Anolis sagrei: one gene and its partner. The protein of the gene in region 2 interacts with the protein of the main gene of each other region in a pairwise test. Links are inferred from orthologs where the notes say so. Each region holds a gene or a part of one and is shown on either strand. Other genes may lie near its edges.

The links.
Region 1: the proteins of QRICH1 (region 2) and NFIX interact in binary tests that used the Homo sapiens proteins (3 or more experiments, as listed by UniProt). The two-hybrid records come from large-scale screens. The link is inferred for Anolis sagrei from reciprocal best matches to the Homo sapiens genes QRICH1 and NFIX.

What each region holds. Positions count from the first base shown.
Region 1 is NC_090022.1:162,840,915-162,852,963, reverse strand, and holds the start of NFIX (nuclear factor 1 X-type), read right to left. Parts: upstream 7,503-12,049; 5' UTR 7,395-7,502; intron 1-7,394.
Region 2 is NC_090022.1:28,348,162-28,360,210, reverse strand, and holds the start of QRICH1 (transcriptional regulator QRICH1), read right to left. Parts: upstream 7,352-12,049; 5' UTR 7,236-7,351; intron 1-7,235. UniProt on the Homo sapiens protein: Transcriptional regulator that acts as a mediator of the integrated stress response (ISR) through transcriptional control of protein homeostasis under conditions of ER stress.

The DNA of each region.
Region 1 (12,049 bases), about 130 Mb from region 2:
TAAAAGTCAAACACAAAGGGCGGGCCAAATGCACAAGATAAAATGTTAAAACTCTGGATGAGATAGAAATAGAAAAAGTGTATTTGTGAAGGAGGAGCCCACGAAGTAGCAGCAGTGGGGTTTGGCCTTCATTAAGGACAGGGGAGGTCACTTCTACGCACACATTGTGCTTGTAAGAATCTCCCTATTAAAGATGATTGAATCATAATAAAAATGTGCCTTCCTCCTACAGGTACCTGCAAGGAGGCAAAATTAATAATATCCTACCAGCTTGCCAATACTGAGAGTCTTTCCATTCTAAAATGTTACAGGATGTCTAGCTGAAGGAGGATCAAACTTGCAATAGGCAAAGGAATTGGGAAACCAAGGGGTAGGCAAGAAATGTGGATTGTCACTCTGTTCCCCAGCTGTCCTGATTGAGAATTTAGTAAACTGCCTTCCAAATGAATGGGCATATATGTCAAAGTCCAGTTTCCAATATTGGGTTTCCTGGTACTTCTTTAAATTGCTTCCCAATCTCTAAATTCGTATCAGATGCCCCACTGACACTACCATATAATGCAATTTTATAATGGAATTTAATGGCATCGAACTGCAACATATGGGATTGTAGACTCATATAATCCAGTTCAAGGAAGCTAAACTGCATTATGAAACTTCATTATATGGCAGTATAGGTGGGCCTTTACAGAGACACATCTTCTGTGTGTCTCCTTATCACACTTTGTCACATGAGAGTCATCTTTTTGGGGAGTAAGGAGGAAGAATCCTGTGTCTTTCTAGCACAGTGGTTCCCAGCCTGTGGTCTGTGGACCACCAGTGTTCTGCAAGAACGAAAATATGGTCTGCGGTCTCACCATTACTGCACCGTTACCTCAAAACCACGCGGTAATGAGAGCGACTGGTCTTGCAAAACCCTCTTATAGGGCCAAGGTGATGAGGATTGGGGGGCGGGGGGGGGGGGGGAGAGAAGTTGACTATTCACGAAAGATTATTACTACCAAATCAGCTCTAGATTATTAAATATGATTTTCTGTGGGTGAGCAGATGACAACTACTGGATAGCATGTGTTCAGAAACTAGAGCTGATGTGGTCTATCCAATGCAATTTTCTCAATCAGCACCCCAAATAACCAAACTGAATCTAAAGTTGCCCAAAAACTGATTTGCAACCCTTTTGGTACTAATGTCGGAGAGTGGTCCCTGGTCAAAGTGGTCCCTGGTTTTAAAAAAGGTTGGGAACCACTGTTCTAGCAAAAATGGAGAGGGCCACAAAAAAAAAGTTTGGCTTCAGTTTTTGAAGCACAGGCTATTCTTGAAAAGCAAAGCAGAATTGTTGTTTTTTTTTTAAAAAAAAACAAAAGCTTGGTTTGATGGGGAGAGCAGAGACTTTTAAAGCAAGATATCTGTTTTAATACTTTCGCATTTATGGATATGTACAGATCAAAATAGGAGCCAGTGTATCCAGAAACTTCCTTCCAATTGTGAGTTTCTGACATACAAGCCTGGCTCTGAATCCAGCACAGATTTTCACACAAACCCCATTTACGCCAAACACATACCTAAGTCTCCAGGTGGCTGGAATATTATTGTACCGTTTTATAAAGGACAAATATCATATAACATAGTGTGTTGTAAACCATCTTAATATGTTATATATATCAGTATTGCTTATATATTTTGACCCTCTAAAATTCTGCCTTTAAAAATAAAAAATAAAGAAAAAAGGTTAAAATTGTCTTCCTGCTTTCCCATCTAAAGACATTTTAAATGTAATGTTGTCATCCCGTCATCTTACCTAAAGATAAGCGCTCCATTTCTACCTTCGATAGTATTATACTCAATCTCCAAGTCCCTCAAGTGAACTCACATTTTCTTTCTTTTTAATAAAAGTCATACAATGTTCTTGATCATTTTAAAAAAGTGTCTATTGATTTTTTTTATCAATCAGACAGTACATTTGAAAAGTCCTCTAAAAACACGAAACACTGCTAATTGTGATGATGGGATTTATAATTGTCACAAAGATTAGCCAATCAGCACTCCTTTACACAATCAGTTTGTGTTGAAATAGAAATAAAACATGCAGTATGGGGCCAAAATAGGATGAGTTGTAGGCTCAACACGCAAGCTTTGTATACTTTATACATTACGTTAAAAGACATTTTTTCAGTGTTACCTGCCTGGGTGTTTGAGGAAGTGAAATGTTTTGAGACTACTCAAAGGGAAATGAATGTTGTCATAGGGATATTGGTAGTTGTGTCTAAAAGGCATACAGGGAGTACTTTGTCACATAAGGGAGGTCTTGTTGATAGAGATTGAAAAATTGTCTATCTTGTTTTCTCCTGTCCTTGAAGTTCTTAAACCTCAAATTCTTTCCACTGGGAAATATAAAGAAATTTGCAAATGTTGGTAAATTAGTCAACAAATTCGCTAACATTATATCCTCATCCATTTGTGCCAGCCAAGCGCATGAGCTTCAACCTTTTTCAACACTGGATGTGTCTGCTTGTAATTAAATATGCAGAGTCTCTTAGTGAAGCATCCAGACCTCTGGATGAATCTATCCTGTAGTTTTAATTTCTCCGAAATGCATACCTTCTTAAATCTTATGTTCTTTAATTCTGAATCTGAAGAAATCTGGGACTTAAACTAGATCCATATTCAGTAAATAATGAAATGTGAGTCTCACTCACAGCCTGGTTTGTTGCACAGAGATCCTGACAAGGCCAGCCTGACTTGCAATCCTAGTAATGCTGATGAGGGATGCATCTATACTGTAGAATTAATGCAGTTTGACACTACTTTAATTGTCATGGCTCAATGGTATGGAATCCTGGGAGATGGTAGTTTGGTGAGGCACTTGAAATTTATTTTTATCTGGAATTTTTTAGGTCTTTTGTCTTTAGGCCCTATTTATAATATGAGTCACAAAAGGTAACAATGATGTATCTCTTCAATTGCTGTCAAACTGCAACTCCCAGAATTTCTCACTGTTAGCTGGGCTATGACTGATGGGAACTGCAGTTCAACGACATCTGCAAGATGGCACAATTCCATACCCTGGTGTGAACGCTAGCTTTCCTTGCTAGCTTTGGCAGAGAAAACTTGTAAAATTACAATTCCCACAGTTACGGCAGTAAAAGTGTTGTCGAACTACATTAAATCTACTATGTAGATGCACTCAAAGTAACATTCAATCTATGGCTCTCAGATCAGTGATGTTCCAAAAAGAAATGCACCTGTTGTGAGGGATTCGGCAACCCATTTCTTGATTTACTGAACTCAGCTGGTGGGAATGAAAAAGTAATTCAGACTTTTGAAGATGATGCCACTGTAACTCCCTTCTCCATCTCTCTACATTTGGGTCTAATCCACCCTGGAATGGGCATGAACATACCAGATCTTTAGTCTCATGCGATTCCATGCACACAGTTTTGAAAGGTCTGTTGTTCATTCGTTCAGTCGCTTCTGACTCTTCGGGACCTCATGGAGCATCCCACGCCAGAGTTCCCTGTCGGAACTTCCCTGTCACCATCCCCAGCTCCTTCAAGGTCAATCCAGTCACTTCAAGAATGCCATCCATCCATCTTTCCCTTGATCGGGCCCTCTTCCTTTTTTCTTCCATTTTCCCCAGCATCATTGTCTTCTCTAAGCTTTCCTTTTTTCTCATGATGTGGCCGAAGTACTTCAGCTTTGCCTCTACTATCTTTCCCTCCAATGAGCAATCGGGCTTTATTTCCTGAAGTATGGACTACTGGGATCTTCTTGCGGTGCAAGGCACTCTCAGCACTTTTCTCCAGCACCACAGTTCAAAAGCATCTATCTTCCTTCGCTCAGCCTTCCCTAAGGTCCAGTTCTCACATCCGTACGTGACTATGGGGAATACCATTGCCTTGACTTTGTGGATCTTTGTTGCCAGTGTGATGTCTCTACTCTTCACTATTTTATCGAGATTGGACATTGCTCTCCTTCCAAGAAGTAAGTGTCTCCTGATTTCCTGGCTGCAGTCTGTGTCTGCAGTAATCTTTGCACCTAGAAATACAAGGTCTGTCACGGCATCCACATTTTCTCCCTTTATTTCCCAGTTGCCAATCATTCTTGTTGCCATAATCTTGGGTTTTTTATGTTTAGCTGCGACCCAGCTTTTGCACTTTCTTCTTTCACCTTGATTAGAAGGCTCCTCAGCTCCTCCTCGCTTTTGGCCATCAAAGTAGTGTCATTTGCATATCTAAGGTTGTTAATGTTTCTTCCAGCAATTTTCACCCCAGCATTGCATTAGTAAAGCCCCGCACATTGCATGATGTGTTCTGCATACAAGTTGAATAGGTTGGGTGAGAGTATACGCCTTTCCCAATCTTGAACCAGTTTGTTGTTTCATGGTCAGTTGAAAGGTCTAGTTGCACACATTTGGATTCACAAACCTGAGTTCACTTATTTTTTAAAGGACCTGTTTCAAGTCCCTGAGTTTATGGATATTCTGTCCTTGCCCACAGAAACCCAGGTGGATCTCCCATCTCCTTCAAGACCAATCTTCCCCTTATCACACTTCATCTCTCTGCCTGGCTGCCTCCATTTCATTTCTTACTTGCCATGATGCTATTTCTTTGCTGGACATAAAGGAGACCACGGAAATTGCCAGCTTCAAATATCAAGCTGAAATGCAAATTATGCACAAGTTTGATGTACAGATTGCTGAAAATGAAGGCCAGAGTATATATTTCTTTGAATTAAGGAAACAGACCTTTAAATGAGTTCCTAGATGGCCCATTTCTGCCACACAAAAAAATGTGATTTCCTTATTGAATATTTCGAGGCTGTTCAGGGCTACACTGATGTGAGGTTTTTTGTTGAAGAGGGCCACCATTTCAACGCAGCCCACAACTGTATAGAATGAAGTATTCCACAAGTGATCCTGGAACCTCTCCCTTCTTTCAGAAAGAACAAGATAAGTAAGGTTTTGTTTTCCTGATACACCATCTGCAATGCTATCCATCCGAAATGAACTTAATCAGAACGTTTTAAAAAATGTTCAAGCTACAAAGTATAGTTTTTCTTCCAGAGGACCATAGACAGGTATTAAGATTCCAGCTTTTGTCATGTAACTTTTAAGATTCAGAAATGACCCAATCGGTTTAGTGCTTTAAAATATTACTGTTTCTAAAGGGAAAGACATTAGCACTTAAATAAATCTCTCTTTAAAACATCAGAAAGACATAAAAGAAAAGAATTTGGGATAGGCTTTTCACCCAACATATTTTTCCTTCTTAACACTGATATTTTATCAAATCACTGATTTTGTATGAAGGCATTTTGTAGGTATTTATTTTGTAAACTATTTATTTTAATTTCATTTTTCTTAATAAGGCCTCAGATGGTTTAGGAAGTAGTATAATTATACTATAGGTTTATAATTAAATGATAATTGGTTAGCATGCTGGCTTCTGAAGCACCTTTGTTCAAATGTCTGCTAGCTGCCTGAAAATCTGGAATGCTGTATTTAGTAAATTCCTGATCAGTCACGGTGATCAGAAAACTTGAGCATTTATCAGTAGTACCTTTTAAAATTTGGGCACATAATCTGGAATCCCAGCCTCTAGTTCCTTTTAGCTAAAAATCCTGCGGTTCCAGCTCCTCTCCCTTCTGCACTCTCTGAGCTGATGTCTTCTGCCATTCACCTGCCTTTGACTTGCGGCAGAGAAGGAAGCCACAGTTCCTGCCACGGCGTGAGGCTATGGACCTTGCGAACAAGGAATGGGGCTAGTTATTATTATGAGCTGCAAATAATGTGCAGCAATTGGCTTCATATTCTGTGAGGCCTGCATGCCCCGATACTTTTGGAACAATATTTGACCATGATCTGGTTTGCTGAAAAGATCAGGTTTTGTTGAAACCACCGCTCTCTTCCCCACTCTCACTTCGAGGCCGCAAGTTCCTATTTAATGAATCCAGAAATATTGAAAAAGAGCAAGCATATGTTTGTTTTTCAATTTTGCATTTACAGTCAGGAGTTGAACATTTCTGGATAGCTTGCAGTGAATATTTCTGGTCTCCAAAAGGAGTGAGAGGGGAAAAAATGCCAAACAATTCAATTTCAATTATACGACGGTCAGATTATGCTAACCATGTACTTTTAGACTCAACCGAAAACTCATGGGCAGCAGTACTTAGGTCCCTGTCTAGATTTATTTAGATCTTTTCACAAAATTACCCAGATCAAGAGCTCTGCCTTTGCCTTTCAGTCTGCACAATAATTGCCCATCTCAGATAATCCTGAGATTACATAAAGTATAGCAAGGAAATTTCTTCAGGCATTTTCTTCTTTGCTGTACTTGCCCCATCAAGAGCACAGCTACTGAAATTTAATACAAGCTTTTTCCGTCCTCTTGATTTTTTTTCCCCTCCAGAAATCCTCCAAGCCATTACAATGGAACTCAGCTAAAAGATTGCCTTTTATTAGAGCCTTGCAATATTTCAACCAACAACTGTTGGTGAGTTTTCAGATTTCTTCTTTTTTTAAGACTGTTTGCTTCCCTTCCTTTCTAAAACGATTAAATAACTTATTTTTAAAGTCACACTGTGTATTTTTAAAGGTAATAAAAATCTTACCACAAAATTCACTGGGAAGCGAAACATTGTGCCAGCCCTGAAATGAATGCGATCTGTGCAAGGGCTCAGTCAGCCTTTGCCAACCTCCCCTTCGTCTCTACAATCCTGGCACAAGGCAGAGTCCTGGTGGATGGTGCCCTTCGCTTCTTTGTCATTTCTCTCTCATTTTAGATGCTTTACATTTTCTTTATACGGGATTTCTTTTTTTCTGCAACTATAAAACTTTTTGACAATTCCCCCCTCAAACAGAGATATTAAGCAACTGAGAATAAATCTATATAAGAAGGATATGGAATTGAAACAGTGCTATGTTAAAGCTGAGGTCTTACCAGTGGAAAATACTATATAAAACCTGAACATTCATAATGGAAAAAATTCATTTCAGGAGAAGACATCTCATTTCTACCATTTGACATGTGAAAAAAGTAAAGGGGAAAAATAATTACAGGTTGTCATGTTCACCTTTTATCAGAAAATGGTAGACATTAGCAAACATATATTAATTTAACATTGAAATATTTTAGAAATAGGTCTCACTCATAAATCACTATATTGATATTGATATTTCAAATTAGATTTGACAGATCAAAAAGTCTAAAACCTGGAATTTTATTCACTTTCACAAAATAACATTAGTCAGGTAAGCCTCATCTAAAGTAATGGCATTTCCCCCTCCTGTAAATCAAAGATAATGTTTCTCCCTGCCACGAATCATCCCCCAACATGTATAACTTTGGCTTATTTTTTTAAAGAAAGAAATGCAAAAATCTACTAGCTTCTCTTACCAGAGCCAAAAGAAGTCCTCTTTCCCAAGCTGACTCCACCACCACACTGTTATGGTTCAAAAACAAAGACTGGATTTGCTGGAAGCTGTTTCTACCCAGAAGCTGCTACGCAAAAAGTCGCTGGTATTCTCCAAACTGCTGGTTGCTAAAATATTGCCAAGTGCTGGCAAGAGGGGGGGGGGGGGGGGTGCACAGAGGAGGTTTTTCCACTGTGTTAAATGTCCTAGTCTCTGAAAATTCCTTGGAGGTGTTTTATGCACAGCAAGCACACAAAAAATAAATAAACAGGGCAAGAGACTCCTCCTGAAAGTCAGTACTGAAAATGCATAGGCAAACACACACTCAATAGTTATATGGGGAACTAAGTAAATTGAAACTAATGTTTCATACAGAATTTTCACTCCTGCATTATGAAACCCACCCTCACCTTTCCTTGCGTCCTAATCCAAGCTTTTGTTAGACTTAATTCCAAACAAACTAGAAGCAGAATTTCTGTCTCTCCTAAAAGGGAAATGATGCCTCTGTTTACAATTCCCCTGTGTTAATTAATTAGGATGTAAACATATAAAATCAATTGTTTGCAGAAAATCAGAATATTATCTTTTTTTAAAAAAAAAACCCTAATTCAGATGGATGGCAAAAATCAAGGATCAAACTAAACTTAAAATCACATCAGAAGTTACTCTAAGAAGAGCTAGAATTCTGGAAGAAGCCAGTGATGCAAAATGTCATGCAACTTCCTATCAGAGGAAATAATACTTTACTGGCACTGTTTGTACCAAGTGGACCTCACAAGCATCTCTCTTAAGAAGCTATTTGCTTTTTGAGTACAGCAATTGTCTTTCTCCTGTCCACATGACAGGCCTCAGACCAGGAGCCATAATGCTGTAGATATGAATGCAGTGACCATGAGAAGGGATGGGGTTGAACAAGGCAACAACCAGTTGCCTATTGGAAAGACTAAGGAATCCCCTTTGATGGGGATTATAGTCCTAATGCACCCTATGGTCAGGATAGCAAGTTTGGTATAGTACACATGGTGGGATATTGGGTATCAAGGAAGGCCTTTTTTTTTTTTTTTTGTCGTGTCAGGAGCGACCTGAGAAACTGCAAATCGCTTCTTGTGTGAGAGAATTGGCCGTCTGCAAGGATGTTGCCCAGGGGATGCCCAGATGATGTGATGTTTTATCATCCTTGTGGGAGGCTTCTCTCATGTCCCCGCATGAGGAGCTGGAGCTGATAGAGTGAGCTCATCCGCCTCTCCCTGGATTCGAACCTGCGACCTACTGGTCTTCAGTCCTGCCGGCACAGGGGTTTAACCCACTGTGCCACCGGGGGAACAGTGGGGAGCAAGGATACATGTATTACGTCATCTAAATAGGAAACCTTGATATGGTGTGTAGAAGCTTGAGAAACAAAATGGTAGAAAGGCCTTGGAATCTGGAACTTGACATGCTTGCAACTGGAAAGCCTGCTACATTTTATTCAAACAGGGATCTCAGGAAAAGGGGCTCTGATCAAGAGATGCTAAAGTTAGAGAAGCTTATTTTATTTATCGTGTCAGGGGCAACCAGACCATTGTATTACATTTCTAACAGAACAAAACAAACAAACAGATAAAAAAACAGTTTGCAAACTTGGTAGTTGATTAACTGTCCTTTGACCAGTATCTGGCCACTTGGAGTGCCTCTGGTGTTGCCAGGGAAGCTGATAGGAGGAGATGGGTAAGACATTGAACAAAGACTGCTATAATAATAATAATAATTAATAATAATAATAATAATCATAATAATAATCTTATTAGTGTATATACAAACGTACATGCTACCCTAATAATAATAATAATAATAATAATAATAATAATAATAATCTTATTAGTGTATATACACACATACATGCTACCCTTTCCTCCTAGGACTTAAGAAGGTCTACAAAGGTTGCAGCTGAAAGGATAATCATGTAAAATTAAAATAACTTTCAACAAAACTAAAAACAATCAATGGCACACCCATTGAAGAAGAAAACAAGAAATATATACAATTTAGTTGTATTTCTAGTTGTTACTGTGCATATCAAATTTTACTGGGAACCACTCAAAGCCTCGAGGACTGGGAACAAAACCTAAATGGATAGTAAATTTGACATATGTATTAATGAATATTATACTAAGTTATACAAAAAGAGATCACAGAATCATAGAGTTGGAAGAGACCTCATGGGCCATCCAGTCCAACCCCCTGCCAAGAAGCAGGAAAATTGCATTCAAAGTACCCCCGAATGGTGAATATAATATCATATAATATAACACACCCTCTCAAAGCAACCAGCTAGATTAAAGTAGAGATTCAAACCCAGGAAAGAGATTGGTGATATACAGGACTATGAGGTGATGGCTCTTCTATTGCTGGCTATTCCAGTTCGCTTCCCCTTCCTTTATTTTTCATACATTATTTATTTATTTTACAATATTTTATAATATTTTACTTCCCTGCCTGGTGCAAACCCTAAAGGAGCTTACAGTCACATAAAATTAACACACAAGAAATGTGGGTGTTTGCTTCTTTTTAAAGAGTCCCATAAAATAAAAGGACAGCAGAGTGAAGCGTGAGTATACCATGCTCCAATTGCTGCTCTTTCCAAATCTGACTGAAAAACAGTCTCACTTTTCCCAAAACACCCAATTTCGAGGTTAGAGCACCTCCTCTTGGGCAGCTGGTCAGACTGTGGCTTCTGACTTTCCCCAAAAATGGCGAGGAAGCAAGTGGAATTGGGGGGTTACACTTCTGACACTCTCCAACTATCCAAATTTGGCAAGGATAATCCTGATTAATACTCTGTTGCCCCATTTCTTTCGGCTGCTTTAAAAATATCGGTTTCTCTCTATCCTCCCACTTTCCCACTTTGTCCTCAGCATACTTCATAATAGCTACAAATTGAGTTCAAAAGGCAAAAATAGTTTGCACTCCATTAACTCAGCAGGGAGAGAGAAAAAGAGGGGCGACATCTTCCCCGTCCCAGTCAGCTCAGGCCAAAGCAAAATGCTGCAGCCTCTTTGTTTGTTATTCCACATTAATAACTTTTTGTCATCTTGACAACAATCTGATTTTACTTGTCTGCACGTATCCAGTTGAAATGTTGGAGGGTATATTTTAGATATTTATATGAGCTTGACTCAGTAGAAGGCTGTGCTCCTGGGTCTGAAGCAATCTGACTAAACTACTGCAGCAAAAATGGCAACAGTAGTAGTGGTGGAGAGATGTTGAAGGTGATTTGAAAATCTCTTTCTAACCAGAGCTTGGAAATATTTTTTAGCACAGTAAATGCCATGTTGTCTGGGGGATTCTGGGAGTTGTCACCTTCAAGAACTGTCCAAAGGTCCCTTGTTAATGCAGGCTCTCCTTGATGTTATCATGATTGTTGGACCAAGATGACTATCCATCCGATCCAGCGACTGGATGTCCCCTCTAGGTCCACAAGGAGGCAACTGCCAGGCCATCAAATGCTAATCAAGGCGTTCAGTTGAAACATTCACACCTAGCTCCAACAGACAAGAGTCTTTTGTCTCACCCTGGTCATTCCACAGATATATAAACCCATTTTCCTAGTTCCAACAGACCTCACAACCTCTGAGGATGCTTGTCATAGATGCAGGCAAAACGTCAGGAGAGAATGCCTCTAGAACATGGCCATATAGCCCGAAAAAACCTACAACAACCCAATGAAACATGTCCCTTCTCTTCCTCCAAGCCAGCCTGCAACATTTCTGCCCTGCAGCTGCTCAGCTAACTCTCCCTGAGGTTTAAATATTCCCATAGCACCTCCTTTTAAAATAAGAGAAATAGAAGTTTGACTTCTGTTGGGGGAGAGGGTTGTTTTTCAAAGCTACATCTATTTTGAAATGCTTTTTTCCCCCTGCACACTTTCTGCAGTTCATTCGGACTATGGCAGCAGCATTTGTGAACTCTGCGTCATTTCAACCCATTAATTCCTGCCACGCGTTAAATGGAGCAAATGAAAAATAATGTGTCATGTTTTGCTTGTGTGTAATTTTAGGTTCCTCGCTGTGAAGCCTCCCCTCAGTATTAAATGGGTTGGAGTAAGGTGGGGGTCCATGAAAACAGGCAAGAGGAAGCTATGGAGTCTCCGTTGTTCTGCTCGGTCAGAAAAAGCTTTTCTCTCTCTGGATCCAGTTCCCCAACTCAAACACACGAACAGACATATGGGGCTGGTTCAAAGGCAGAGCTGGATTCAGATATTCCAGTTTTTAAATTAAAATTCTTGGCTTAGTGGACACATCCATTGACTCAGGCCTGCCTTTTCCCGGCACTCACCATGAAATGTATTCACTTCCCAAGCCAATCCCTGCACACTCATTAAGAGCACACATGTGTTTCATGCCGGCCAAAATCCACACTGACTACTACGGAGTAAGTTCCATTCAGTTTCTGGGCACAGCTGTGACTTGAGTAAGCATGCAAAAGAGCTCACTGAACTCCTCTGTGGTTTTGTGCAGTTGCTGAGGAATCTTGACCACTGCTGCAGAAAGTGGGCCTTTTAACACCACACAAGTATAGCTCTATAGTTCCACTTTAAGAGCCATGGTTCTATTCAATGGACTCCTGGGATTTGCAATGTAGAATTGCCTAACATTTTCA
Region 2 (12,049 bases):
TACTATCAAATTATCATTTAGAAATAGTAATTTTCAGAATGATTTTAAACAGGGATACTATAAACAATAACATGGTATTTGTGCAAAAAAATTAAAGCTGCCTACCTCCACACACAAAAAGCTAATACAAGTACAAAGTGAATGGAAGTGACCACATCGTCATACACTGAAGCAGATACATATGTGATTTAGAAGCCTTAATAGACTACAAGCTGAATATCAGTCAACAGTGTGATGTAGCAGCTAAAAAAGATTGTTTTGAGCTACATCAATAGGAGCATAGTATCTTCATCAAACAATAATGCCACTCTATTCTGTTTTGGCCAGAACCCCATCTGGAATGCTGTATCCTGTTCTGAGCACCATAATTCAGGGAAGATACTGGCAAACTACAAGAAAGGAGATTCCATCTGAACATTAGGAAGAACTTCCTGACTGTGAGAGTCATTCAGCAGTGGAACTCTCTGCCCTGGAGTGTGGTGGAGGCTCCTTCTTGAGAAGCTTTTAAATAGAGGCTGGACGGCCATCTGTTGGGGTGCTTTGAACGCAATATTCTTGCTTCTTGGCATGGGGTTGGACTGGATGGCTCATGAGGTCTCTTCCAACTCTATGATTCTATAAGGTGGAAGGTGTTCAAAAGATAATCAAAACTGTAAAAGAACTCGAAGCCAAGTCCTATGAGGAACAGCTTATGTAGCTGCGTATGGTAAGTTTGGAGAACAGAAGATTAAAGGGTGATATGTTAGCCATGTTTAAATATTTGAAAAGATGTCAAATTAAAGCTGGAGCAAGTTTGCTTTCTGCAGCTCTAGAGATTAAAACACAGAGCAGTGGGTACAAAGTGTAAGAAAAGAGATTCTACCTAAACATTAGGAAGAATTTCCTGACTATTAGAGCTGTTTTGACAGCAAAATATGCTGCTTAGAAGTGTGTCAGTCTCATTTCTTGGAGATTTTTAAACAGAAACTGGATGGCCATCTGTTGGGGATGCTTTGATTGTGTTTTCCTGTATGGCAGAATGAGGTTAGACTGAATGATCCAACTTTATTTTTTAAATATATTTTGAGAATATGTCAAGTGCAAGAGAAGAACAAACCTTTATGATTTCCTTTCAAAGTGCAGATGGGCTGACATAGAACAAGGGGAAAAAGAGAGCATGAGCACTTAAAGACACTACAGAGAAGTACAGGGCTGAACATTACACTTTGCCACACAACTCCCATTACAGTAAAATCAATACAAGTCAGGACTAGATGACCATCTATTGATGCTGATTCTGAGGAGGCCAGGTCACATGGTACGTCCAAAGAGAACTCTTTCTACCCCCAAGAGAGATGAAGCATTACATTCTATTCTACACAAGACAGAACGAATAAATGCAATCCAGCCACATTTTACCTATTATTTTAAGAAATATATACAGGGAAGCCAATGTTACACTTTTTTTGTGTGTCATGAGCAACTTGAGAAACTGCAAGTCGCTTCTGGTGCGAGAGAATTAGCCGTCTGCAAAGACGTTGCCCAGGGAATGCCCAGATGTTTTGATTTTTTTACCATCCTTGTAGGAGGCTTCTCTCTTGTCCCTTCATGGGGAGCTGGAGGTGTAAGAGGGAACTCAACCCGCTCTTTCCAGATTCAAACCACTGACCTGTCAGCACAAGAATTTAACCCACTGCCCTACTGGGAGCTCCTGGTGTTACACTTCATTGCTTTTAGAGTTCAACAGCTTTTCTAATGCCTAAAATTTTTCCCCCTCTCTGATGTTTTTTAGTGGTATTAACAAGTTTCCTTAAAATAATTTCATTCTGACATCTAGGAAAATTCTGTATACTTTGTATTATTTTGGTTCTTAAGCAAGAATGAAATGCATCTGAGCTGAAGAATTATATACCTATCTCCTTGATGACTACAAACTATTTACTTTAAGTCTAGTAGAAATATTGAATAAAGCTTTACAGGATTTGAAACATGAAGGGCAATGTGACCTTACTTTTTACCCAAAATATTTTTCATAGACAATATTAGCTGTATTTTGTATGCTTTGGAGTACTATGATAAATATAATGAAAACGAGAAGCATTAACTTTTTTTAGATGTAGAAAAAACAAGATAATGAGAACTGGTCATTCCTTTTTGCTCTTTTGGGGAAGATTAACTGAGTAGAATTTTATTTTATGGATTAACTGCTATTTGATGTTCAAATAGCCTAGATTTTGATTACTGGTGGCAGTCTTTTCTTACAGAACTTTAATGAAAGTGAACCAAGTCTAGGTTTAGATCAGAATGGAAGACTGTTTAGAAAGCTTTGTAAACTGTCATGAATTCAATGATGGGAAAAATATGGGAGAAAAAACCAAGAGCATTAATGTGTAAGGGTAGCACTTTTTAAACCTCAAAACAGACATTGCTGACATCTACAGGCAGTCCCCACGTTATAAACAGGATACGTTCTGAGGGTTTGTTCTTAAGTTGAATTTGTTTGTTAAGTATATTTTAAAGTGTAATTCCAGAAAAAATATACATTTTAGTTTTGGATAGCACAGGGATGGGTTAATACTCCTGTGTTTTGGGGTGGTTTTTTTTTTGTTTTGTTTTGTCTGAGCCCTTGTTCAGAAGATTTCACCTCACTTTCAGTCCTTGTGATAATTGGATTTTCAAAAAATTGGCATGTTGTGAAAACAAAGATTGGTAAGAAGTCTTTAAGGAGATAATGTTCCATCCGAGGGCTATATTTCTCTCATTTCCTGTTGCCTCACCCCTGTTCTTAACTATGAGTCATTTGTAAGTCAGATGTTTGTAACTTGGGGACTGCCTGTACTACAATATTTTTCTTTTAGTAAGCCACCCAAGACCAATCAGAGTTCCACCAAGAAAGGATTCATTGTCCGTTCCACTAGGTAAGACACGATGGAGAGCAGGTGCAGGAATTTCCATACTAGACATCTGCTGTGCTTTACCTGTACAGATGTATCAGCCAAAGCTTTTGATAACCTAAAAGGTCCTATGGGAATATGGAACAACGGATGATGAGATTGGATCTTGATTCTACCTATGAGATGCTAATGAGATGTTATATTGATGTTTAATTTATTATTTATTATGTCATTGTTTAATTGTTTTTTAACTGTTTTTATGATGTTGAGCATTGAATTTTGCTATTGTTAACTGCTTTGAGTCACCCAAGGGCTGAGAAAAGTGGTATATAAATGAAGTAAATTAATAAATAAATATGGAAATACAAGTGAATGAAAGGAAATATTTCCATTATGGGTTTGGCCCAAATAAATCTGTTCACCTTTATGTTTACCTCAAAACTGCAAAAGATGCTCAAGATATAATCCACATAATAGACTGGTTCACTGAGGTCAATTGATTCCTTCACCTATTTCTAAGTTGAGCCTAATTAAAGAGGAAGAATAGTCTAACTAGCTATTACAAATAAAGAACACTATCCAAAAGGTATTCCCTTTTTAAAAAGGTGAAATACAGAAACTATTATAAACTGAAAGGAAAAAAGTTACTTAGCATGAACCTAACTGGAGAATTCAGTCTGATATCACTCTAATTGTCATGACTCAATGCTATGGAATAATTGGATTTATACTTTTGCAGGGTCTTTCGCCTCTTTTGCCAAATAGTGATGGTGCCTCAACAAACTGCAAATCCCCAAATACCATTGCATTCAGCTATGGCAGTTAGTGGTGTAAAAGTGCATTAATTCTATAAAATAGCCACACCTCCATAGGATCTTTAAATTGGCCTATCAGGCCCATATGCATTTCACAGTGGAAACTGTTCACTACAGAGCATCCATAAGGCTCTCAACAAGTACAGGCTGAGAATCCCATATCTCAAATACAGGCAGCATAGGTGAGGCAGCATAACTTCCTTTTTTTAAATGCACAATATTCAGTCGGTTAAAGATGTAGCTAGTGGTCTCGTTCCAGAGGTGGGAGTACAAAGTTTTGTCCTGACACACTTCAGTCGCCATCATGCGTTGGAACAGTGAGGAGAGTGCTTTTGCCATTGAGGCCTACTTTTCGAGTGGATTTGGAGTGGCTGGCCCGCTCTCCAGATTTGACCCCTTGTGATTTTTTTCTATGGGGTTTTTTTGAAATCCCATGTTTATGTGAACCGTCCAAGGACCCTATAAGATTTGAAGACCAACATCCAGGAAGAAAGTGCCAACATAACGCCTGCTATGCTGGCAAGAGTCACGACAAACGCCAGAAATCGGCTTAATCAGTGTATGGAGAATGGGGGACGTCACCTACCTAATTTGATCTTCAAAACTACGTAAAACAAAACTTTAGGTATGCGCCTACATTATAAAAAATCTGATACATACAATGGGTTTTATTAAGTTTTGAAAAAGGAAGTTATGCTGCCTCACCCTGTATTTGGGGATTCTTGGACATGGGACCCATGTCCAAGCATGAAATTCACTTGTCTTCCATGTACGCTTTATTTACAGGATATAGATGACAAGCTGGAACATGACCAAAATGGTCTGGAAGTCCTAATAAAGAGCAGCTTAGGGAGCTGGGTATGATTAGCTTGGAGAAAAGAACGATGAGAGGGGACATGAAAGCTATATTGAAATATGTGAAAGGATATCAAATAAATGATGGAACCAGCTTCTTTTCTGCTGCTCCAGAAACAAAGACATTGAACAATGGATTCAAAGTGCTGGAAAAGAGATTCCACCTTTTGAATAATGTCTCCTATTATTTCGTCCATTTTAATTAATATTTTTAAAGTTTATACTTTAAAAAAGGAGAATGTTAGTGATGTGTGAATAAAACAATATTAGGAAAAATTCCTGATGGTAAGAGCTGTTCAGCAGTGAAGTATCATGCTTTCTACCTTGGAGCCTAGTGGAGCCCCCTTCTCTGAAAGTAGGCCTTTATTGGCCTGCAGGAACCCTTCCTAAATCTTAAATAAATCTTAAGTAAATATTACTTACAATAAAATACAAAATACAGATGGTGATACATGGATTTGATATACATGTATTTCTCATGATTTCTACAGTCGTGCTTGAGCTGGTGTTTCTGCATGGAAGAACAGAGTTGGAACTGAATGACTCTTGGGAGTTTCTTCTATGGCACCTTCCACACAACTGTATAAAATCCACACTGAACTGGATTACATAGCAGTGTGGAAAGTCCCCTTATATGACTCTATGAGCAGAATACAACTGGAACTGAATGGCCCCTGGAGTCTCTTCTATGGACCCTTCCACATAGATGTATAGCATTCACACTGAATTGGATTATATGGCAGTGTGGAAGGGCCCTTATATAAATCTATGAGCAGAATACAGTTGGAACTGAATGGCCCTTGGAGTCCCTTTTATGGCCCCTTCCACACAGCTGGATTACATAGCATTGTGGATTTAGACAGCCCCTATATCTCAGGATCCGATCTCAGGTTTCTGCTGTAAACTGGATTGTATGAGTCCACACTGCCAGATAATCTGGGATAAACAGAAAATCTGAGATGAGATCCCAGGTTATCTGAGGGCCCACTTAAAGGACCCTCAGATAACCCGGTTCAAAGCAGATATTGTGGATTATCTGCTTTCATGTTCTGGGTTATATAGCTGTGTGGAAACGTCCTTATATGAGCCTATGAACAGAAGAGAGTTGGCCCTTGGAGTCTCTTTGGGTCCTTCCACACAGTTATATAACCCAGAATATCAGGGCAGGAAACCCCACAAATATCTGCTTTGAACTGGGTTATCTCAGTCAACACTGCCATACATTCAAGTTCAAAACACACAGTCCTATATCCCAGAATATCAAGGAAGATATTGGGTTATCTGAGCCCACACTCAGGTAATGTGGGTTTTTCTGCCTTGATATTCTGGGATATAGGGCTGTGTGGAAGGGCCTTTCGATATTTCCATAGATAACCTGAAGATAATTTATAATAATTTTATGCAGGAGACAAAAGTGTATTTATACTGGATCACCAGAATAATAATAATCAACTTTATTTTTAACTCGCCTTCGCTCCCCGAAGGGACTGAGGGCAGCAAAAAGGGCAAACATTCAGTTATGTTAATACACTAAGACCAACAATTAAAAACCCTCAAATTATCCACAATAGTACAACACAAGAAAGCCAAGGTGTCACTCAATGTGGGCAATTTCAAAGGCTTTTTGGATCAACCTGTCATAAATTACTGCGGACTGGTAGGCCACACCAAAAAGAAAAGAATAGGCCCCGCCTCGTCCGTTATTCCAGCGCAACCTTCAGGCCAAAAAGGGTGGGAAGAGAAAATAAGCATCGTCCAGGAGACACAAAGGCCTCTTCCACACAGCTGAATCAAATCCCACATTTTCTGCTTTGAGCTGGATTATTTGGCAGTGTGGATATTCTGAGCCCTATACCTCAGAATATCAAGGCAGAAAATCCCACATTATCTGTGTATGGACTCAGATAACCCAGGGCCCTTCCACACAGCCCTATAACCCTGAATATCAAGGCAGAAAATCCCACAATATCTGCTTTGAACTGGGATATCTGACTCCACACTCAGATAATGTGGGATTTTCTGCCTTAATATTCTAGAATATATAGGGCTGTGGGGAAGTGGCCCTCTGGCAACCCAGTTCAAAGCAGATATTGTAGGGTTTTTTTCTGCCTTGGTGTATATGGAAAGGCCCAAAGCAAGCGCCAAAGGCCCGGAGCGAGAGATAGATAACACAAGACGCAGCTTATGCAGCAGCAACGACAGCAGCGGAAAGGCCCCTCAAATCCTGCTGCGAGGCCAGAGGGAGAAAAAGAAACAGCGCGCGAGCATGCATGCGCACACTCCAAAGGCGCAGCGCGCGCGCGCGTCCTCGTCTCGTCCCCAGGATTCTATCCACCGCGCGCGCCCGCCCGCGCGCCAGCCCCCCTTCTCCTTTTCCTCCCAGTGGGCGGGGCCGCAGAGGAGGAGGAGGAGGGGGGGGGAGAAAGAGAGAGTTTTGGAACGCCAAGGCGCGGCCCGGAACACAAGGGGAGAACAGAGAAAGGAGACAGGGCCCCGATCCCGCCCTCTCTCTTCGTAGCCGTCAATCACCGACGCGTGCACGCGCACTGAGGCCTCTTCCCCTCCCCTAACCCCCTCCTATATTTTTCTTTTCCCCCCACCGAGGCCCCGTTTCCCTCCTCCTCGCTCTCTCCCTTCCTCCCTCCGACATCCCGCCGTAAGAGGCCGCGGCCTGGCCCCAGCTCCGCCTCACCCCCGGCCCTCGCGCCGCCGTCGCCTTCGCCACCTCAGGCCCCGCGTCTGGTTCTCCCCTCACAGCTCCCTGGGCGCCATCTTACATTCAACCCGCCGCGGCCAATCAGCGGCCGCGCACGGGCTCGCGACAGCTCCGCCTCCAAGCCGCGCGAGAGCTCGAGCCCCGGCCCCGCCCCTCGCCTTAAAGTGGACGGGCGCCTTCGGAGGGAGGGACGGAGGGGAGCAGAAAGAGGAGGAGAGGGACAAAATGGTGCATAGGTTATTCTATGTTCCCTGCAAGGAAATTATGGATTATATCCATTTATTTCCTTCGCTTTATTATATTATTATATTTACCCGCCCCCACAAACCTGTGCCACCATAGAGAGCCTCAATGTTCAGATTAAGAAGACACCAATCTTTAGGGTTTGTGATTCCCAAACTTTGGGGTGCATCTGCATTGTGGAATTAATGCAGTTTAATAATAATAATAGCAACAATAATAATGACAAGTTTACACCCCCCCCCAAAAAAAAAAACCTGTGCCACCATAGAGAGCCCCAATGTTCAGATTAAGAAGACACCAATCTTTACGGTTTGTGGTTCCTAAACTTTGGGGTGCATCTGCATTGTGGAATTAATGCAGTTTAATAATTATAATTATGACAAGGAAAGCCAAGAACCTGCTTTAATCAAAGTCAAAAATCGAAAACTTCTCAAAGCACAGCAAACAAAGAATCAGTACAAGAAAACTGCACTCCAAACCAGAGCTGACAGCTGGCACAACAAAGCATTGCATGGGCAGTTCCTTGACAAGATTGAAGGAAAAGTTGACAGGGAGAAGACCTGGTTATGGCTCATGAATGAGACCTCATGGGCCATCCAGTCCAACCCCCTGCCAAGAAGCAGGAATATTGCATTCAAATCACCCCTGACAGATGACCATCCAGCCTCTGCTTAAAAGCTTCCAAAGAAGGATTCTCCACCACACTCCGGGGCAAAGAGTTCAGATTAAGAAGACACCAATCCTTTGGGTTTGTGATTCCCAAACTTTGAGGTGCATCTGCATTGTGGAATTAATGCAGTTTAATAATAATAATGATGACAAGGAAAGCCAAGTACCTGCTTTAATCGAAGTCACTAATTGAAAACTTCTCAAAGTACAGCAGACCAAGAACCAGTACAAGAAAACTGCACTCCAAACCAGAGCTGACAGCTGGCACAACAAAGCATTGCATGGGCAGTTCCTTGACAAAATTGAAGGAAAAGTTGACAGGGAGAAGACCTGGTTATGGCTCATGAATGAGACCTCATGGGCCATCCAGTCAGCCTCTGTTTAAAAGCTTCCAAAGAAGGATTCTCCACCATACTCCGGGGCAGAGAGTTCAAATTAAGAAGACACCAATCCTTAGGGTTTGTGGTTCCAAAACTTTGAGGTGCATCTGCATTGTGGAATTAATGCAGTTTAATAATAATAATTATGACAAGGAAAGCCAAGTACCTGCTTTAATCGATGTCAATAATCGAAAACTTCTCAAAGCACAGCAGACCAAGAACCAGTACAAGAAAACTGCACTCCAAACCAGAGCTGACAGCTGGCACAACAAAGCATTGCATGGGCAGTTCCTTGACAAAATTGAAGGGAAAAGTCACTAATCGAAAACTTCTCAAAGCACAGCAGACAAAGGACCAGTACAAGAAAACTGCACTTCAAACCAGAACTGACAGCTGGCACAACAAAGCATTGCATGGGCAGTTCCTTGACAAAATTGAAGGGAAAAGTCACTAATCGAAAACTTCTCAAAGCACAGCAGACAAAGGACCAGTACAAGAAAACTGCACTTCAAACCAGAACTGACAGCTGGCACAACAAAGCATTGCATGGGCAGTTCCTTGACAAGATTGAAGGAAAAGTTGACAAGGAGAAGACCTGGTTATGGCTCACGAATGGAACACTTTTATTTATTTATTTGTCGTGTCAGAGCAACCATTCCGTTATATTACATTTCTAATAGAACAAAGCAAACAAACAGACAAATACAAAACTTGTGAGTTTGGTAGTTGGTTAAATGTCCTTTGACCAGTATCTGGCCACTTGGAGTGCTTCCGGTGTTGCTGCAAGAAGGTCCTCCATTGTGCATGTAGCAGGGCTCAGGTTGCATTGCAGCAGGTGGTCAGTGGTTTGCTCCTCTCCACACTCGCATGTCAAGGATTCCACTTTGTAGCCCCATTTCTGAAGGTTGGCTCTGCATCTCGTGGTGCCAGAGCGCAGTCTGTTCAGTGCCTTCCAAGTCACCCAGTTTTCTGTGCGCCCAGGGGGGAGTCTCTCATTTGGTATCAGCCATTGGTTGAGGTGCTGGGTTTGAGCCTGCCACTTTTGGACTCTCGCTTGCTGAGGTATTCCAGCGAGTGTCTCTGTAGATCTTAGAAAACTATTTCTAGATTTAAGTCATTGACGTGCTGGCTGATACCCAAACAGGGGATGAGCTGGAGATGTCTCTGCCTTGGTCCTTTCACTATTGGCTGCTACTTCCCGGTGGGGGACATGAGAGAAGCCTCCTCACAGGATTGCAAGACATCCGGGCGTCCCCTGGGCAACGTCTTCGTAGACGGCTGATTCTCTCGCCACAGAAGTGACCAGCATGCAAGCAAGCAAGCAAATAATAATGATGATGACAAGGAAAGCCAAGTACCTGCTTTAATCGAAGTCACTAATCGAAAACTTCTCAAAGCACAGCAGACAAAGAACCAGTACAAGAAAACTGCACTCCAAACTAGAGCTGACAGCTGGCACAACAAAGCATTGCATGGGCAGTTACTTGAAGGAAAAGTTGACAGGGAGAAGACCTGGTTATGGCTCACGAATGGAACCCTGAAGAAGGAAACAGAAGGCCTGATTCTTGCAGGAGCAAGCCATCAGAACAAATGCAATAAAGACCAGGATCGAAAAATCAGCTGATGACTGTGTAAGGAAGCTGATGAAACCATTGATCATATCTTCACCTGCTGCAAGAAAATCGCACAGATGAACTATAAACAGAGGCACAACTCTGTGGCGCAAATGATTCACTGGAACTTGTGCCACAAGTATGACCTGCCAGTAGTAAAGAACTGGTGGGATCATAAACCTGCAAAGGTAGTGGAAAATGAACACGCAAAAAATACTGTGGGACTTTCGAATCCAGACTGACAAAGTTTTGGAACACAATAAGGCAGATATCACAATTGTGGAAAAGAAAAAAAATCTGGATTATTGATGTCGCCATACCGGGTGACAGTCGCATTGAGGAACAATAACAGAAAAAACTCAGCCGCTCTCAAGACCTCAAAATGGAACTGCAAAGGCTCTGGCATAAACCAGTGCAGGTGGTCCCAGTGGTCATCGGCACACTGGGTGCCGTGCCAAAAGATCTCAGCTGGCATTTGGAAACAATAAACATTGACAAAATCGTGATCTGTCAACTGCAAAAGGCCACCTTATTTGGATCTGCACGCATCATTCGAAAATCCATCACACAGACCTAGACCCTTGGGAAGTGTTTGCTGTTGCCTAATAACGCAACACAGACCATTATACTACACTTGCATTCCAGGTGAAAGATATATTTCCAAAAATTAGATCTCTTTGGGCTTGAGCCTAAACACTCCACTACATGTTTAATGTTGGAACTATATATAAAGATTGCATGCTTTCACTCTTCCCAATCCCTTTTGGGAGTATTCCAGCATATCTCCACTGTAAACTCTTATTCAAGATTCCCCCAAATTCTGGATCCCCCCAAATTAAGGTTAAGACATGGGAGATATGGCAATAGCTATCCAGATGGTGCTGGACCCAGCTTCCAATAGTATGCCCAGTGGTCAGGGATGAGAGGAATTATGCTCCAAAAGCACCTGGAACAGGCATGGGCAAACTTCAGCCCTCTGGGGTGGACTTCAACTCCCATAAAGCCTAAGAGCTGGTAGGCAGTTAGGAATTGTGGGAGTTCAAGTCCAAAACACCTGGAGGGCCAAAGTTTGCCAATACCCAATCTGGAATGTGATACATTCCCCACCTGTAAGATAGGCGATGTTTTGTCTACTTACCAGTCTACATATGGAATGTTCCTCATTAGGCTAGGAAGTGTTATTTCATCTTTTGTTGTTGTTAATTCGTTCAGTTGCTTCCGACTATTCGTGACCTCATGGACCAGCCCATGCCAGAGCTCCCTGTCACCAACCTCAACTCCTTCAAGATCAAGCTAGTCACTTCTATTTCATCTAAGATATTGTATGTTATTACTTTACTTCAAGACAAAGTAAGCTATACTGTGATCCCACTGGAGTTTGGTTCCAGGATGCACCATAGATACAGAATTCCATGAATGTTCAAGTCCCATGACTTACAATAGCATAATAAAATGGTATTCCTTGTATAAAATGGCAAAATTGGGTTTTAAATGTTTTCCCCAAGCCATGAATGGTTGAATCCATTGATAAAAGATCCATAGATATGGAGAGTTGACTCCACCCTTCAGGGTTACACAGCATATTATGAAGGAATAATCTTTTAGGATACTGTACTATACAATATAGTAATACATTCCACTAGAGCAGTTTTTCCCCGGGGGGGGGGGTCGCAAGGGGGGTGTCAGAGGGGTCACCAAAGACCATTAGAAAACACTGGGGTTTTTTCTGTTGGTCTGGGGATTCTGTGTAGGAAGTTTGGCCCAATTCTATCATTGGTGGGGTTCAGAATAATCTTTGATTGTAGGAAAACTATAAATCCCACCAACTACAACTCACAAATGTCAAGTTCTATTTTCCCCAAACTCCACCAGTGTTCACATTTTG